Linked DNA regions of Drosophila melanogaster. Changing the gene in region 3 together with the main gene of any one other region gives a genetic interaction. Each region holds a gene or a part of one and is shown on either strand. Other genes may lie near its edges.

What was found. Genes that interact genetically often act in the same process or in processes that back each other up.
Region 1: of Abd-B (region 3) and lin, changing one suppresses a phenotype caused by changing the other (phenotypic suppression), as found in Drosophila melanogaster (one study listed by BioGRID).
Region 2: of Abd-B (region 3) and pb, changing one suppresses a phenotype caused by changing the other (phenotypic suppression), as found in Drosophila melanogaster (one study listed by BioGRID).

What each region holds. Positions count from the first base shown.
Region 1 is NT_033778.4:8,912,623-8,918,774, reverse strand, and holds lin (lines), read right to left. Parts: upstream 4,252-6,152; 5' UTR 3,768-4,251; intron 3,711-3,767; 5' UTR 3,675-3,710; coding exon 1,098-3,674; 3' UTR 541-1,097; downstream 1-540. Other genes in the region: CG34219 (uncharacterized protein), read left to right, coding at 1-183, 243-439; Pgi (phosphoglucose isomerase), read left to right, coding at 5,209-5,342, 5,588-6,152. UniProt on the Drosophila melanogaster protein: Has a dual role as a segment polarity protein and as a modulator of the Abd-B protein. Required for Abd-B to activate the transcription of genes (including ems, cut and sal) that are involved in posterior spiracle morphogenesis.
Region 2 is NT_033777.3:6,739,024-6,743,739, forward strand, and holds the start of pb (proboscipedia), read right to left. Parts: upstream 3,041-4,716; 5' UTR 2,145-3,040; intron 1,152-2,144; 5' UTR 1,077-1,151; coding exon 527-1,076; intron 1-526. Other genes in the region: zen2 (zerknullt-related), read right to left, coding at 4,226-4,716. UniProt on the Drosophila melanogaster protein: Sequence-specific transcription factor which is part of a developmental regulatory system that provides cells with specific positional identities on the anterior-posterior axis. Controls development of mouthparts, and labial and maxillary palps.
Region 3 is NT_033777.3:16,928,232-16,936,154, forward strand, and holds the start of Abd-B (abdominal B), read right to left. Parts: upstream 6,012-7,923; 5' UTR 4,801-6,011; coding exon 4,140-4,800; intron 3,383-4,139; coding exon 3,171-3,382; intron 3,087-3,170; coding exon 2,885-3,086; intron 1,622-2,884; coding exon 1,407-1,621; intron 1,350-1,406; coding exon 1,158-1,349; coding exon of another isoform or gene 999-1,157; 3' UTR 1-998. UniProt on the Drosophila melanogaster protein: Sequence-specific transcription factor which is part of a developmental regulatory system that provides cells with specific positional identities on the anterior-posterior axis.

The sequences.
Region 1 (6,152 bases), on a different chromosome or scaffold from region 3:
ATATAATCAGCGAGGAGCGTTCCGTATCTGTGGATCGCTTCAAGTACACGCTAAACGATGAGGGAGGCTTCACCAGGTCCGTTCCGCTGGTTCAGGAGTATCACTACAGGGTGGTATCTCCTTTGGCCAGCCGACCCAGTCAGCAGCATCCGCATAAGCCGGGATCCGGAGAAGCCCGTTTCGGTAAAGAGTCCCCACAACAAAGTGACACGTCCCATAAGACCAACTACTTTCTTCTCTAGAGCCTCGTCTTAACCGTCGCTCCTCGGTTCCGATCAGCATTAACTATCAAACGGTGCACGTATCGAGTCCACATCCTCCGGAAATGGCCAGGCGCGGCTCGGTGATAAGCCTCACTGGGCCACCACCAGAAGTCAGTGGTATGCCAAGTGGAGCCGCTGATCCAAAGCGGCGCGTCCGCATGATAAATCGCCATTGAAGTCCAGAAGTCCAGATGAGATCAGGACACAGCCCAACGAAATTGCAAAGAGACTACAGTATTTTAACACACCATTCGGAAACAGAAACCGCACACGTTGTAGTCCTTCTTAATGCGTTTCTTTTAATCAGTTAATTATGTTATATTATTCAAGTGTTTTAAAAAAACGTACAAAGAATATTCTTCTCGAAGACACCGAATTTACGCCCACTTCGGCGGGCAGCCGTTTGCCGCAGCATTTTGCCATCCTATTGTACATTATTCTACTTAGGGCAAGATTAAAAAAATCTTAGGCTAGCGTAGTGTTTAGTTTGGAATTCAGTACCTATGATATAACCATTATCTACGAACTAACTACGAACTTGTGATGCTCATTACAATTACAATGACAATTACATACAGCTGGGTATGTATCTGGGTTGAAAGACCTGCTGGGCGAAGCGGATGAAGAGGGTGCAAGATCTTAACTACGGTTGACGCGCTACTGGATCGGGGTGCGGAGTTATGGTCGGAGTGGTTGGTCCCTACGGCTAATACACGTATTCTACAAGGCCTCCATCTTCATCGAATTTTGCGCTAGTTTCTCCTATTCCATTAAATATTAAAATAAATTACGTATTTTAATTGCATGTGGTTGAAGTTCGTCCCTGCGCCGCATTCAGCTCAGCTCGTTGCCCTCGTACAGGCTCTCGCAGCTCTCGAGCAGGCGCAGCACGGGGGAAATGTCGTAGGGGTAGAGCTGGCGCGACACGAGGCGGGATATCTGCAGGCGCAGCCGGATAAGAACGCCCATCGCCTCGTCTAGCATGGCGCTGCCCATGCCGAAGGTGTGACAGCTGTGCACGAACATCGTCCAGTTCATGCGGATGTACTTGAGCAGGCGCAGCAGGTAGAGCAGGAAGCAGGTCTCGTTGCTCACCAGCAGGTCCAGCAGCAGGTCCGAGCTGTTCGATGTCATCTTGAGGAACTCCAGGAATGTGTACACCGGATTCAGCATGGCCACCAGCTCGGGGAAGGCGTTGTTGCGGAACGATATCCCAGACGTGACGTCCAGCGTGCAGACCATGGCCTCGATCAAGTGGTCGTCCTGGTCGTCGAACAGGTGGATCAGGATCTTGCTGAAGTGGCACTCCGGATGGAATTCCAGCGTCTGCTTTATGAACGTCTCCAGCTTGCTGAGTACATCGCGGATCGAGCGCTCAATGAGCATCATGTCCTGGAAGGCATCGTAGTCGGTGGAATCGATGGATGAGTCGGAGGAATCGCTGCGTATCTCCTTCACCGTCACCGCTATCGACTTCAGCACCAACAGCACCATCTTCTGCAACAGTGTCTTATCCATTTCGATAAGGTCCAGTGGCGCACCGTCCTCTTCGCTGTCCCCTGATTGCGCGGCATGTGCCAGGGTAATTGTTCCATTGGCGTACACCATCGGCTTGCCATTGTAGCCGATCAGACTGACCATGTTGTCCGGCTGTCGCCGCGGCAACGACTCCAGTATGCGGAAGCCGCGCACATGGCAGACTATCTGGTGAGCCAGCTTGCACGTCTCCTCGGGCAGCATGTCCTGCAGCGCCAGCGTGGAACCATAGCACAATGCCTCGTTGAAGAGGCACAGCATCTGCTTGTACACGGTGCAGGAGAGGCTGTGGCTGAGCAGCAGCTCAAACTTGTCCAGCTGGGCGTAGTAGGGTCGCGTCTCGTCGATGGACAGATTGGCCTTCACCGAGATGATGTTTTCCCATAGCTGCAAGAAGTTGAGCACACAGTGCTCGGCCGCATCCTGATGCGTCGGCGCCATCAACTCCGACATGTTCTTCACCAGCGTGGGCCACTTGTGCTCCAGCTTTTGAATGGTGATGCACTTCAGGTGCGTCGTATCGAAGCTTTCCGAGTCGGTTAGTGTGACCACATGGCAACCGCTGGGCATGGTCGTGGACTGGGGAGCGGGGTGCGGCTCGTAGGCGACGTTCATATCCTCGCCAAAGTGCCGCCGATGTCGGTCGCGGTTGTCAGGTGCTTCCTGCCCCGTCTCTCGTTCACCTTCCGTATCCTCGCGAAATTGCAGTGCAAAATAATTGGTGGCTAGCGGCTGCTCCTGCACGGGAAAATGCATGTAGCTCACGGACGCCTCTGTCGAAAGGGGCACTACTGACGAGGCTGCACTTGTACTATTCGCCGACGCCATCCAGTCGTCGTCCAGCGGATGGATCTCCATATCCTTCCACTCCACTATGCGCTTGATGATGTCCAGGCTGAAGTGGATCTTCTGCACGGCCGCCTGGTCAAGCTGCTCGAAGTTAAATAGCTGGTCGACGATCTTCTGCAGCCACTCGTCATTCAGCTCTTGCTTGGCAATCACCAGGAATGCGGCTAGCACACGTCCCGCCAGAAATTGCACGTAAGAGTTCTCGTAGCCGGCCAGCACGATAATCTCGTCGATAAGCTTGTGGTCATTGCGAATGAGTGCGTCGCAAACGTCCATTATCCGCGTGCAGATGAAGCCCTTTGCGTTCTGCTTCAGGTAGATATCGAACAGTAGCTGCAGATTCGACAGAAACTGCAGCAGCTTGTTGGTGGGCCACTCCCGCAGGTAGGCTATCCGTTTCTGGCCGTTGGTGTCCTGTGAGTAATGCGACTGGAAGGGCTTGCGCAGCGTTCGCTCCGAGACGCCGCACAGGCACTGGCGGGTCAGGGACTGCTCGAACTCCAGCATATCGTCGATGGACGTGGCTGTTGTTGCTTGCAAGCAATTGCTCCTGCTGCTAGCATGACTGCCATTGCCGTTGGTCGTGTCGAGGGTTAGCAGGTTGGGCAATTTGGCCGCCCTGTCCACTTCGTCATGGGCGGATTCAGGCTGGCTGTGCAGGTCTGTGTCCCCGTTTTGTGGCAAGATGTTGTGCAGCAGCTGGGCGTACGACGCCGCCCGGGAACTACAGGGCGTGGTGGTGGGGGAGTTGTTGGCGGTGCTTGGCGTTGACAGCGAGTGCGAAGAGGACGAGGAGAGCGAGGAGCACAGGTGGCTGTTGCTGTTGGCGTCCAGGTCCAGTATATCCGGCGGATGGGGCGGCTGGGGTGGCAGCGCCTTGGAGCCCACCTTGATTTGCTGCTCGATCTTCTGGCGCTTGGTCTGCGGCTGTTCGTTTGATGCGGAGGTCGTGGAGGTTGCTACCGTGGAGCATGGGCACACATCGCCCGTTCCGGCTCCAGATCCTGCTGCGGATGAGGTGTCCATCCTCCGCGCTGACGTACCCGACGTCCTGCAAATGGTCTGCAAGCGAAATGCCCGGTGAGCAGCGAATCTAAGCGGCGGCTCGCAGCCACATACCTACAAACCCGATTCCGACAAACAGCTTCCGTGCTACGCGCACACAAGGTTACGTGTGCAGACGCTGCTGCCTGGCTTCGTGGGGCGATTCTCTCGGCTTCCTGAGACACACTATGATTTCTTGGGGGCGACGAGGGCGCTCTAGCTGCCGCCAGGTGCTCTGACTGCTCCTCCAAACATTTTAAACGGCCACAATTCGATTTTCACACACTTGTTGCACTCTTCGGGCCAGCGACATGTCAATGTTTATGTGAGTTTCACTGCACTCGCGTTTCGCTTCGTGCCCGGGCCAGTCGATTGGGTCGTGTGCTGTTTCTCACTTTTTAAGCGCCTCCGATTGTTTCTCTGGCACTGCTTTTATTTTGGTTTTATTACACTTTATTATGTGGGAAAAAACAAAAATTAAGTGCGCGTCGCCATCTTTTAGCGAGTTTCAGCTACCTGGTAACCCTACTTGCGCAGCGTTGCCAAACGGATCTTGGTATTTGGCGTTAGCTATATACATAGCCAGGCTCGCAACCATAGCTCTGTCGTCACAACTCAATTCACATATATTTTACTTTCCGAAATGTATTATTTTTTAAAAATAATTATTGCACGCTTATAACTTTAGCAACAATGTTTGCTAAAGTAATTCTAATAACAATGACTCCGGTAGTTTTAATTTTCTAATGCGTGATAATAATTAAGTGCTTGAGAATTATAAGATTGCAGAGAACTTAACAAAAAATATTTTGTGAGAAGCTAATTACAGATAACAAATATTTTTCAATTTATATGTGCTAATTTAACGGGTAACTTTAAAGTAATTTTAAGAATGTTTTTATTTTTACATTTTTGACATTAAATAATAGAAATGCTATTCGATAGTCATTGACACCTGACAGCCCTGAACACCGAGCGTGCTGCCACATCGAGATAAAATTATGCCGTTAGCGGCGGTTAAGTCGTTTTGAAAATTTCAGTTTATGTCCTTTTGCCTACCGGTGCAGACGATCTAGGAGTAGGAAGTTCTCAGTTCATCTCCACGCGGCCACACACAGTAAATTCGCACACACTGCAAACCGATCGGCACATTAAAACAAGAGCGCGGCCGACGTGGCAACACTCGCTTGTTTTTCATTTGACATTGAAAGGTGCTCGCGAATTCCAGAAAGGACGTTGGAAAATCGGCAGCCGCTCAGTCAGTACCTATCAAAAGCAAACACGGCGAAGTTGTGGTGCGGTGCTCTGGAGATTTGCCGGAGCCAGATAATAGGAACTACCCGACGCCTAAGCAGCCGGATCCGCTATTATAAGTGAAGTGTCGCGAGCGGTCGAAGCAGTTCGCCTGTGCTCTCTTCTCCGTGTGCTACTAATTTGCATCGAGTGCTAAATAGTCCTCCCTTGCCCTTCTACTCCGCATCCGCCTGCTGTTCCTGCTTGGGATAACTGAAGTAAGATGGCCGGCCCACTTCCTCCGCTCAACCAGGAGGCAGCGTTCCAGAAGCTGCAGGAGTACTACGACTCCAAGGGCAAGGACCTGAACATCAAGGACCTGTTCGTGAAGGATTCCAAGAGATTCTCAAAATACAGGTGGGTTTTTGTGTCGATTTCGCCTCAGAGGGTGGAAGTTACGTATCTAGTTCCCGCATACATACACTCATTCGTGTATCCCCCATCGGCAATCGTTTATTCATCGAGTTGCGCTTTGCCCACTTTCACTTTCACCATCGGCTGTCGAGTGTCGCCGCCACTCGATTTGTCCTTGCGTAAGGTCACAGCAACGACCTCCGAATCGTACTTGCTCTGAGGTCAAATGTTTTTCGTTTGTTTATCAGCCTGCGCCTGCACACCCAGAACGATGGCGAGATACTGCTGGACTACTCGAAGAACCGTATCAATGACGAGGTCTGGGATCTGCTCCTCACCCTGGCCAAGGTGCGCCGCGTTAACGCCGCGCGGGACGCCATGTTCTCCGGCCAGCACATTAACATCACGGAGAACCGCGCCGTCCTCCACACGGCCCTGCGCAACCGCGGCACGGATCCCGTCCTGGTGGACGACAAGGACGTGATGCCCGATGTGCGCGCCGAACTGGCCCACATGAAGGAGTTCACCAACATGGTCATCTCCGGCGTGTGGCGCGGCTGCACCGGCAAACAGATCACCGACGTGGTCAACATCGGCATCGGTGGCTCCGATCTGGGCCCGCTGATGGTCACCGAAGCGCTGAAGCCCTACGGCAAGGGCCTTCACTCCCACTTTGTGTCGAACATCGATGGCACTCATCTGGCCGAGGTCCTCAAGAAGGTCAACTACGAGACCACCCTCTTCATTGTCGCCTCAAAAACTTTCACCACCCAGGAGACCATTACGAACGCCACCTCCGCCAAGACCTGGCTC
Region 2 (4,716 bases), about 10 Mb from region 3:
CGATTTTCTTGGGTTCAGTTGCTCTTTGATAACCTTTGCTAGTTCACATGGTCGGAATTCAAAGGGTTCTTGAGGATCTAGATTGGCTGCTATTAAAGGAGGGAGAATAAATGTGTTGGTAGAGGGATTTGGTCGGAATACATTTTGTAAATGGTCAGCGAAAGCACTGGCTCTTTCTTCATCACTTCGAAACCAGGTGCCAGAGGGACTTCGTAGTGGCATAATTGGCGCTATTGGAGTCTTTAGGTTTCTGTGAGCTCGTGATTAATGAGAGTTTCGCATTTCACCAGCCAGTACACGGCAAGAAAAAATGGCCGGGACAAGAGAACCCAATTGATTCCGGTCTAAACTGATATGGAAAAGTGTCTATAAAAATATCTTACTTTTTATTTGATTGATTCAATAGTTTGAGATGGACTGATGAGATTATCGCCTATTCTTCAGAGAATGGTGTTCAAATTGACATGGTCGATCGCTAAATTAAAAACCTTATGCTTCCCCCAGTGTAATGTGCATGTGGACTTACCCTGATTGTTGTTGTTGCTGCTCTTGCGGGATGTCTTCTTCTCCTTCATCCAGGGATACTCCGGCACCGAGTCCATTCCATCCGGCGTTTGAGGGACAACGCCAACCGGATATCCGACTCCGACGCCGACATTGACATTAACGTTGACGCCTACTCCGCCAATGGCGCCGGATCCAACAGGTGTTCCGATTTTGGGACTCTCCGGACTCAAGTGGTTGAGGAATTCAGCCATCGACGGCTGCGAATTGATGAACCCGCCCTCGGATGCTGTCATCCAATAGGCCGTGTCCGCGCTCCGTTTATCACAGTTCGGGGTCATCTTGTTGACCATGAGCACCGACGGCACAGGTGGCACCCCCTGCTGTCCGATACCAGGCTGACCAACACTCACTCCCACGCCACCCACACCACCCACGACGCCCGCACCACCGCAACCACCCACTGGCAGGGACGTCTGTCCAGTTTGCACCTGCAGCGGGTTGAGTGGAGATTCCGATTTGATTTGGGTGCCCATTGAGGTCGTGTCCAAGGAGCTGCAGACTTCTTGCATAGCTTGGGTATAATTTTTTTTAGATTCTTTCTATTTCAATTCCTGAGCGTATTAGATGTTCCTCAGCTTGGGAACCTGGAAAGGAAAGCCATTTTTGTAATCTCATAATAATGTTATCACGATTCAGTTCCCAGGAAGTTAGAGGTTTCACTGTTCTTATCGAATGTGAAATTGAATAATGTATGTATATACTTCATTAAGATATGTTATCATTATCTTCATTAACCTTTTAAGAAACAAAGACATCGTCACTTTACTATGCTATTCAATGTTTATTTTATTATTATATTTATAATTTTTGAATTTTTATTTATATATTTTGAATATATATAATTTCAATATAATGTACGTATATACTTCATTAAGATATGTCATTATCTTCATTAACATTTTAAGAAACAAAAACATCGTCACTTTACTATGCTAATCAATGTTTATTTTATTATTACCGATCCAATTTTTCACATTGCAACTGTCAAAAACTTGACTATTTTTAAATTACATATTCCAATTTATATTTCATTAGTCTCTCAGTTTTCTGTGCCAGAAATTCATTTGTAGTCTGCATTTTTACTATTGCTCTTATAGAAATTGTTAGGCCTTCACTTTAAATTTATGGCCACCTAATTTCGATTGAGATTTGACAATATGTATTGTATGTATGTACAATACATACAACCTGTCCTACAATGTTACCTAAATTGGCTTGGTTCGCATACATTATTTTACATTATTTTTTTAAGGATTAATAGTCAGTAAATAAATTAACATATTTTAAACAGAAAAAGTTATAAAGCTGTTACATATCCTCATCTAAGAAATGCCGCATAGCTAATTTCCTAGGAAGTATAAATGAATAAGAAAATTCGAATATATTTTCCGATTCCGCCAATTAAAGATTTGAAATATTTCTTGCAGTAAACATTTTGCCGACTTAAAAGGCTCGTATTTTAGACTAACATGTTGTATCAAAAACGAAATAACGACACGCTTTGATTTTCTCGTGCTTTAAAAGGATACACTTATTTTTAAATGTAGGTAAGAAATATGTGTAAGATAATTTCGTACCATATTAAGTTGATCATTTACAGACCACAGTATTCCATATTTCTCCTCTTACGTTGACATATGCGTTCTTTGTGGAAATTTCACCGGTATCACTTGGGTCACCGTTTTCACTATTGTCTGCACTCGCTCATAGTAACTGGCTTAACTTTTTGTTTGTTTTTTTTTTTTAGTTTCAACCGGCACAACTTTTGCGATGCGGGTTTTGCGTAAAACTTCAGTGTGTCAGGGCTTATCTGTGGGCCGCGAAAAGAGGCGACAACCGCGACGAGAGCGAGGGAACCCAGATCCGAATGTAAATATGGCCACCGTTGTGTTTGCTCAACCGTCAAGTGGTGTTTGGAGTTGGTTTTTCGCTTTCAGGTTGACATAGACACACACCTTTTGGCAGCCATGGCGACGCGAAAGGCCAACACAACCGACGAAACAACGGCGATAACGACAATAGTGCAAGTACGCGCTGTACAACGGTGCGTATGCGGAATGTGTTGATTTTGTAGAGTTTTGTAGAGTCGCTGCGATCGCTGCAATGGCCACACACAGACACACACTCAGTCGTTGCAATTCGTCTGAGATAGTTTTCTCCACTCGCACTCATACACATGTGGGCACTAGCTGTCCCTCTCTGGCCTTCAAGAGGTGCGCAGAACCGGGTTTCCAGGGGTTCCTAAAGTGCTTCTCAACCGTATAGTAAAACTTTTGGTTTCAACTCGTTTTAATAATATCACTTTTTAGTTTTCAAAATTTTTGAACTATTTTTGTAGCTGTCATTTTAATAAATATTATTTTTTAGATACCGAACCGATTCGTAGCGAGAGCGAGACAGAGGGCTTTTGGGGAGCTTCGTGCGGTTCCCGAGAGCTAGATAGCAGCCAACAACCATTCCATCCAATAGCACCGAACGCACTGAACTGGGATTTTGGGACCCAGTATCAAGGAGTGGCCTAAGCGACAGCCACCGCATCCATCACGCTTTTTCCTGGTCGGCACATGCGCGGTGCCATCTGGAAACTGGTTACTATAGCCATTACGCGCAGAGACCAGGGGGTGGAGTTCACACACACCGGCGCACAAGTCTCCGGCCCTCTGATTGGCCGGCTCGGCAGTTTGTTTTGTATCTTTGCGGTCGTGTAGCTCGGGAACCCCTGTATCTTGGGCCATCATTTCCGCGGCGTTTTCTTGCCTCATTCACTTTTTTCCACTTCCAACGCGAACGTGTTGCTTGTGACGGAATTTATTTGGTTTTTCTTATTTACACATTTCGCATCTGCTAAAAAATGAAAAGAAAAAGCCACAGTAGCGAGTTTCTCGCTCTCCGGCTTTTTTGGCTTTCGGCTATGGGTATTTTTGACATTTTGCTTCGCTCATCGCTCTTTTTGTTTTGGGCGCCTCTTCTCCTGTCAATCTTGGTGGCATTGCTTTTTGCCTTTTGGCCGCTTTTTCGCCCTCTTTTTGCTAACGTTCTCCAATCCAGTCCGCGCAGAGTTTGTAATTATGTGCGGATTTTAATGCACACGGGTGTCACTACAGGTGTAAAAATATTGCCACGATTTTGCACTGCAGCTGGGGGTGGTGTTCGTACTTGGACGCTCTGACGAACAAGTTGTCTGACAGCAGGGAGCTATGTGATCGGCAGTCTACGTAATGACGATGCGCACCATGAGATTGTTTAAAATTGTGAAAAAGATATATGTGTGAAAAATACAGAAACTTTGAGGAAGCATTAAGTAAAATAAAAAGCCAAGGCCATTCATTATAAATATCATATAAATAAATGTTTTAACAAGTCAAGCTTATTTAGTTTCTCAACTGTATCGCCCACTAAAATGGAATTTTGTCTAAAAATATTTGATTTGTCTGGTGGTGAAATTTTTGAAAATCGAGTCCGCAAAATGTATCCCCAAATGCTGCACAACCAGCATTTTTTGTTTGAACAAATAAATGCGCACATTAATTATAAAACATATTTTATTTCATCCAAAATAAGTAATAATAATGTAGTCACAGAAAGATATTGCTCGTATAATACAATGATTATATATGTATGTATGTACAGTTGCCTAAACATATAGTCAAAGATATATTTAAAAGTTCAACAAATTTTGAATAAAGTCATAGTCAACATCCAAAATATCCGACGATGAAGCAGAAGAGCTATTCGAGTCCCAGCAGAAATTCTGTATCATTGGCTGATCCTGTGTATTGTGTTCAATTACATTTTCTGCGATAGGAATCGTTGGCTCAAGGCCCAGCCATGAACTCGCCCAGTTAGCATCGAATTCATTGAAGGGCAGTTGGGGAAGAGCCATGGGCTCAGGAGAAAATTCATGGAGGTAATCGTAGCTCTGATAGGGTGGTGTAATTTGACCCTCCTCCAGGACACCGTGATCAACCTGCCGGAGTGGAGCTGTTTCCACATTTGTGTTGGCATATCGAAGGAGACGCTCTACGATCTGGTCGTCCTTTTGAAGATCTTCGCTCGACTGGGAAGAAAGTGGAATAGATGTGGTCAGCGCTCCAATGGCACCCTTCCTATTGGTCGACTTCTTGAGTTTCATGCGACGATTTTGGAACC
Region 3 (7,923 bases):
TTGTTGCTTTAGCTTTACGAGTAGTTTTGTTAAGTGTTTTCCTTGGTTTAAGAGTTAATTTAATTCGAAAGCGACTTCAACTATGGGGTAAACATGCACACACTCATTGAAATTTTTGCAACTTACAATTAACCATTTGCTAAAATCGAATCCGAGTTCATATTATACAAATATTGAATATCTCTGCGTGTACGCAATATACATATACATATATCTGATGTAATTTAGTTATCGAGTGCTCGCTTCGGCCGGAAATCAGCGCAATGTCTTAGTTTATATACAGGAACTTAGAAGGTATCAAAGGACACGACACGACGAACATTATACGACAAAATTTATCCTAGACTGCGGAGTGTGTCTTCTTGTTTGCGGAGCTGTGAGGGGTCCGAAAATTGTTAAACAATTTCAATTTGTGTTTCAAGAACATTTATCTGGGTCTAAAATGTGTTCTGCTGCTCAGCCTAACTCAGCCGCCTTGTGGCCGCTCTTAATTGGATAGGTATGGTAAAATCTACTACTCGAACGCGTGTATTCATAATTTATGCGGGGTTATATTCACTGACGTTTAAGTATATTCATATTCATAATTTATAGTTCGGAAAATTCATAGTGCTCGCCTAGGCTAATGAGAGCGTTGAGAGAAATACGTACATACATATATTTTCGTACAGTTGCGAATTTCAAGTGCATCTGCTACTGCTGCTGCTTACTCTTCATCTTACTCGTATCTATATTCAACTACCGAACTAAGCTGCATTATCGTGTTGGGGCTTGGATCTCTGGGATCCGTAGAACTGACTTAATAATAAACTGCATTTGCATCAACGTCGGTTGGTCACACATCAGCGACGCCTGCGCACTTCTGGGCAGTTGCTCATCCACATCCTTGCTCCTCATTGTGGTCACATATTCCTATCCCGCATGCTAGAGATCTCTGGTTTTTGTACATTTAACCGACTGAACTCGGCCTGGCTGGAATCGCCCTTCCAATCGCTGGACTAGCATGGAAAGTCCATGGCCAGCTCGTTCTTGATTAGATGATGGTGATTCGGATCGGACATGGGGTTGGGATTCGAGCTGGGGTTACCCGAACTCGGATTGGCTAACTGCTAGTAGGTGGCAAAGCCCATGGCGCCAGCGCTGCTGTTGTCCAAGGGTCACTGGTGCATCTTGGCGGCATGGTGACCCATGTTCAGGCTAAGGTTCAGGTGGTGGCCGCTGTGGTGCTGCTGGGTCGCCTGCGCGTGGTTGTGGTTGCTGCTCGAATTGTTGTTGTTGTTCTGCTGATTGGCCTGGCGCTGTGAGTTCTTCTTGTTCTTCATGCGCCGATTCTGGAACCATATCTTGACCTGAAAGGAACGCCTGTTTAATGAATTCAGTTCAAGTCAGTAGGTTTATGGACTCACCTGTCGCTCGGTCAGCTGCAAATTTCTGGCCAATTCCCAGCGCTTTTGCTTGGAAACATACGCATTGAAAAGAAACTCCTTCTCCAGCTCCAGGGTCTGGAACTTCGAGTACGGCTTGCGCTTTTTCCGGACGGACACCTGACCGGTCCACTCGTGCAGTCCGGGATTGGGCGTGCAAGGACCCACTGCTCCCACGGATAATCCACCAGAGGCTCCTGAAAACATCATCAAGTAATGGGGTTAAACTACATGGTTAACTTCATTAAACCGCAAGTGCGGGTGGTCCGATGGTTTTGTTGCTCGGTGTTCGGTGCAATATCAGATCGTTAAGTTTATAGAGCAATTACGGAAATTGTTTAGCAATAAGCGTAATACGAAATTATTCAATTCCTCATTTATGGCCTCTTAATTGGTGCGGTACGGGGAGCGGAGCTCCGAATTGGCATGAGGCCCATATTCACACTCGAGTGGATAACACTAAATGAATACATTCGTTCCCGCTCATTGGCCGACCAAATGAAGCAATTAAATTAATGTTGAAATAAAGTGACAAGTTGGATTTATTTTAATTTAAACGCTAGTTCAGCACGAGTGAAGAGCTTTTCGAATCTAATCTGATTTCTTCGATTAGTCTTGGTAGCATTGAACAGTTAGGACAGTTAGGTCAGATTGGAAATTAATTATCGAGCCTAAGAGACCTGAATTCCAATTGTAAAATTGGCTGGCGAGGTCACTTAACTGACATATTCCGCCATAATAACGAGTCTTTACTATGGATACCATGGATACTACTGGGAAAATATGACTAGTCGACAGATACAATTCTGGCAGTTGAAAAACACCTGGTGATAAGACACGAACATAAACAGGCAACCCCATAGAATGCAAACCCCAATGACTTTCGCACCCACATAAAGGCGTAACGCTAGCCAAATAGCGAGTATCGATTTATGGGCCGTTTTGCACTACGCTAATTGAACGACAAACTTGACGGTTTCGCAATTTGCTATTTCAACCGATACGACGACGAAAAGTCTAGTGCACATAGGAAAATCAAATAATCTTGAACTTTATATTGTAGGATGCTTAATATTTTAGGGCTGTTTAAATAATTGGCTTGGCTTTTAGGAAAAAAAATAATAGCACCATATAAAAAACACTTCCAAATAATTATCGATTCATTGGAAAATTTGACGGTCTATAAATATATATTTTACAATTAAAAACATTTAGGTGGAATTTGAACGCCTCTTTTTAAACAGAATTTTGAATTCGTATAATTTTTCACTTTAATTTAATTTCATATGAATAACCAAATATTTTATTAAAAATTTTAAGAATTGTAAACAGTAAATTTTTAATTTTTAATCTTTAAAATTTCTCCTCCCAAACTAGAGTTGCAAGATGCTCAAAATTATTTCCAGTGTGCCTAACCTCGTTACCCTTAAGTGTGCCGACTCTGGCCGGTCTGGACTCACCTGAGCTGGAGTAGTTCTCGCTGGGATAGCCGCGCAGGCCGCCTGGCGAGGAGTAGGTGGGCGGCTCATAGCTGGACGTCGATGTGCCCTCGACGGACTGTCGGGCGGCGGCGCTCACGTGGCGCTCCGCTTCGTTCATGTAGGCCGCCGCCGCTGCGGCAGAGGTGGTCTGATCGGGGCGGTAGTTGGGGCCCCAGTACTGCTGCGGGGGAGAAATGAGGTCGGGTTGGAACGAAGTTGCTTACAACTGATGTGGAGGCGTGGGTGGCGCTGTGGCCATACTTACACCAACCGGAAACTGCGTTTCTGGGTAAGGATAGGCGAACATGTGCTTGCGGTCGTAGTACCCGGAGCCGTAATGCTGATTGAATCCCTCGTCGTTGTAGGCCCAGTGTGCCGTGTGCCGCTTGACCGCCGCCGAGGTGTCCGTCTCGAATCCCGGACCGGCCCGGATGGCGGGTATATGCAGTGGCGCTAATTGTATGGACATATTGATGTCTGAAAGTAAACGATAAGCGCAGATTTGCTGCTGTTAATATTGGCACTAGGGCTGGTAAGTCTAATTTTAACGACTGTCTATGATCAAATCGACCTCCTTGATCATTTGGCATTTTATCACTTGGCGTGGCATTTGTGCCTATAACCCTTAGATTGTTTGTCGATGTCATGGATGTGGGTGCATTCACACCTCGTCTATATATAAATCTGTATATTTAACACGTGTCAACACTTAAGGTAATAAAATGGTTACCATAACGATTACGTTTCAAATCATCGTTTAATTTTTTTTTTTGTGTAAACTCTTTAAAAAAAAACCAATGCAGTTTTGAAGAACTTCAGTACACTCACAAACAATATTTTTAAAAATTTTTAATTTCCTTACAAAATTAAAGTTGTTACCACCCTGCAATTATATAGTCTATAATGATAAAACAGACGCAAATATTTTGAGTAAATAAATTAAATGCGTGACGATTCCTGGGAGAGTTAAAGAAAAGCCTTATCAGCCTTGAAAAACGTGCTGCAATCAGCACAACTGAAACGTTATTGCAACTGGGGGGAAAAAAAAACAAGTGGAACGACCCCGTTCCCAATTTAACGTCCCCAATTTATTTCGAGAGTTTTCCAGTTCAGATGTAGAAAATTTCAAAAAATATATTTCCCAACGATCTTTGAAAGCCCATAACCAATGGAGTTCCAATAAGAAATCCGCTGGTTTTCAACCCCAAGGAAAGTTATATTTCTGGGACCTCACCTTCCTTCTGAGAACTAACACTGGAGGGAGAAACACTCGCCGTGGTCGGCGCAACGATCTGCGTCTGGCCAGGAGCAACTGCAGCATTCTGCTGTTGCTGCTGCTGCTGGAGATTCGAGGAGGCGCCGCTGGCGACACTGTTCGGGGTTTGTTGCTGCGGCAGTTGCTGGTGGTGGGGCGATGTGAGATGTTGCTGTTGTTGGGCGGAGGGTCCAGTGGGTGTTTGGGCAGGACTGAGGGCGCCGGCCACCGGTGTTGTCGCCAGCTGTTGTTGCTGCTGTTGCTGCTGCTGTTGAAGTTGCTGCTGCTGCTGCGGAGCGGGGAGGTGTTGCTGCTGTACGGCGACAAGTGGCACAGGCGGAGGATCCTCGTACATAACCGCATGCGTGGGCGTGGAATGTGTGGTGGGAGTTGACTGCTGTTGCTGCTGCTGGAGCACCGAGGAGGGTGAGGAGGCGACGACTGCATGTTGCTGCTGCTGTTGCTGCTGCTGCAGGTGGGGATGCGCGCTGTGGTGATGGCTGGTGGTGTGGAGAGGCTGAGGCAGGTGGTGGTGCGCATGGTGATGCAGTTGCTGCAGATGCTGCTGCTGCTCCTGCAGATGCTGCTGCTCCTGCTGCTGCTGCTGCTGTTGCTGCTGCTGCAGATGGTGCTGCTGCATGACGGGCAGGGAGGGATGCGCCTGGGGATGCGGATGCGGGTGCGGGGCGGTGGGTACGTGGGTGTGGGTGTGTGTGTGATGCCCCCACCACGCCCCGGCAGCGGCGTGCGACCCGACTGCCGAGACATCGTGGGGGTCGTAGAGAGCGCACGCCAGCGGGATGGTTGGGGTTTGGGGGAGGGGTGGAATATTTACGGTTATCTTGGACGCGTTGCACTCGAACTGCGGCGGCGAGGATAAAGGCGGTGCAGTGGGGTCGATCGCCTCGACCCACCGACCTTTCTCTGTCTTTTTTTTCTCACTCCTCTGAGTGACGCCTTTCTAATTGTTTAAGTCTCTTTATATTTTTTTCGCGACTTAATAATTTTTATTTTTAATATTCAGAGCACCTTTACTCGAGTTTTGCCCCTTTTATTTGCGTACCGCACACGCACACAAACGTCCGTCAGCGGTCACACGCACACGCCGACTTACTCACACACGCACACTGCCTAAAGAGCGGGCGAAGAGAGTAACTTTGTTGTTGCACAGGGGATCGAATCAGCTTGAATTTCACAGGGTGCTTGCGGTCGTCAGCAACTCACGCAGTATTTTCAAATTGGCTTTTTTCAGTTTTCATTCGGTCAATCCAATTTTCCAAAACTTTTCCAATTTTTCCTTTGTCAGTTAATGTTTTCTTTTCACTTTTCTTTTTTTTTCGGTTGGCGTTTGTTTTTGATTTTCTTCTCTCTTTTATAATTATCATAAATAGTTTATTATTTGTGGGGCCTGCAGTCGTTGTTGTTGCTGCTGCTGGCGTTCGCTTTTTATGTTGCTGGTCATAAAATTTGATTTTACGACCAAAACAAACAATTAAAGGCAATGTTTGCAACAGTTAACAAAAATGTTATTATTTCTCCTCACAACGCCGGCGACACGATGTTTTGATTGTGTTTTTTGTTTTTTGATTTAATTTTTTATACGACTCCAAAAACGTTTCTTCTTTCAGTTAAATTTTTCGAAAATGTTCAACTTGTATTTTTCGAACCGTTCGAACGAAACACTCCCAGTCGAATGTGAATGTGAATGGACGGCGAGTACGAAATCGTTCAAGTCCCAGTCCTCGACGAAGTTGCAGGGCCGCTTGCCTCGGCTGTTGTTGTAGTTGCTGTTGTTGCTGCTGGACGCCCGCGCGCCTTCCAACCGAACAGAGCGAAGCACAAATCTACACTGACGGCAGCAACGCGCACGGCGACAACATATCCACATCGCTGGCACGGCACACCGACAACACAAGACCAAGACCAGAACCAGAACCAGCACACGAACACAAACTCTAAGCGCAGCGGCGCCAGCCCGCTCCAGTGTGTGTGTGTGTGTGTGTGTGTGTGTGTGTGTGTGTGCCTCCCCGTCCGTGTGACTTGGAAGAGAGCGCGGACATGCGCATGTTGCACAAGCACTCAGATTGATGGTGGTGGTGGTTGATGTTATGTTGATGGCAGTTGGTGCGGCTCTCTTGTGGCGCGTTATGCACACGTACACTGTATACAGCGTCTGTGTGGATCCCAGACTGTCAGCGAGTGTGCGTGTGTAAGTGGGGGGAGCCGAAGAGAGTTTTGGATGTTGCTGGGGGAAATAGCACTGTTTCAACTAGCGCCTTCAATGAGGTAAAGATGGTATCGCACTTCGACTGGGACTGGCTCTGGAATTCGCTGAGCTCAGCAGGTGCTCCAAGTCACAGGGGGTCATCGAGGGCGAAACACACACGCACAGTGTACGTGTGAAGGCATCCGCTCTTCAACGAACAAAAAACGCTCTCAGACTCACCGCCCGCTCTTACTGCCCGATTCTGGGGGCTGATTTGAATACTTAACACGCGCGCACCACAGCGCCATCTATGTCCGAGATTTCGATGGAATGGGGGCGGGGAGGCGTGGTAGATGGCACCACATTGTGTGTAGTTAGTTGGCTTGTTGTTGGCGCTTTTTATCGATTACCACAACAGCAGCAACATACAGAAAAACTCACTGCATAAAGACCATGGATCGCGACCAATTATACGAGTCGTCAAGCGCAGTGACTAATTAATGCTAATTAGTTAAACAAATACATGCGTGCGCCAGTTCAGTCAGCAAATTATGACAGCCCAATTGTTAGGAAACCCCGGGTCTCTTTTCACCCCTATCTCAACATCCTTTCTCCCTTTTGGCTCTTCTACAGATTCCCCTCCTTGTCTCACTTCCAAAGGCAGTTGCCAAATTTTACGCTGCAATGGACAATTATGGGAATTTTATGGCAATTGCCATTGGAAGAAAAGCAAAAGGCACGCAGTCGAGGCCAAGGAAATGTTAACAAATCGTAAAAAGGATGCGATGAGAACAACTCTCAACCCGTTTGACAACAAAATGTATGTACAATCGCATAAAAATCCATACTTAGCAATTACAATAATACATTTGAGCAGGGGCTTAAGAAAATGTCAGAAGTCATCGCGACTGGAGACGAATAATATTATTTCTTATGTGAAATCAGAACATTCATTTTTAATTTTTCACATCACGCATTTAGTTGAAGAGTCCAACTGCTTACATAACAAAGTTGATCAAGTAAACCCCAAAAAAACTTCAAGAATTCTACTTATAATAATACAAAACTTGTAATTAACTGCCGCAATCTATTTCCAAAAATAACTTCTTCGATTGAAATTATTATTCAACTTTTTTATTTATAAATAGAAATAAAGTATGATTGACATTTTTCCTATTGAACCACTCTGCTAACACGCAGAATTATTTTAAAGGGATAAACTCTCTGCACAATAGCATTTTATAATTATTAGTAGCATTTTAACGCCTTAATATTACATATTTAAATACATATCTGGCTTAAACCGGACTAATTATAATTTTAGCTTACCTGTGGGATGGGAACTGACGCTGGAGGGAGAAATGCTCGCCGCTGTCGGCGCAACGAGGTGGTTTTGGCCGGACGCCACCGCTGAGATTTGTTGCTGGGGTGGTGCTTGGTGGGTCTGCACCGCTGCTGAATGGGGATGGATCTACTCCACCGGTTTGCTCACTTCCAGTGACGCGTTCTGCAAAAAAAAAAAGATGCAGAAACTTGGTAAGTAAACCACAGCAAGGG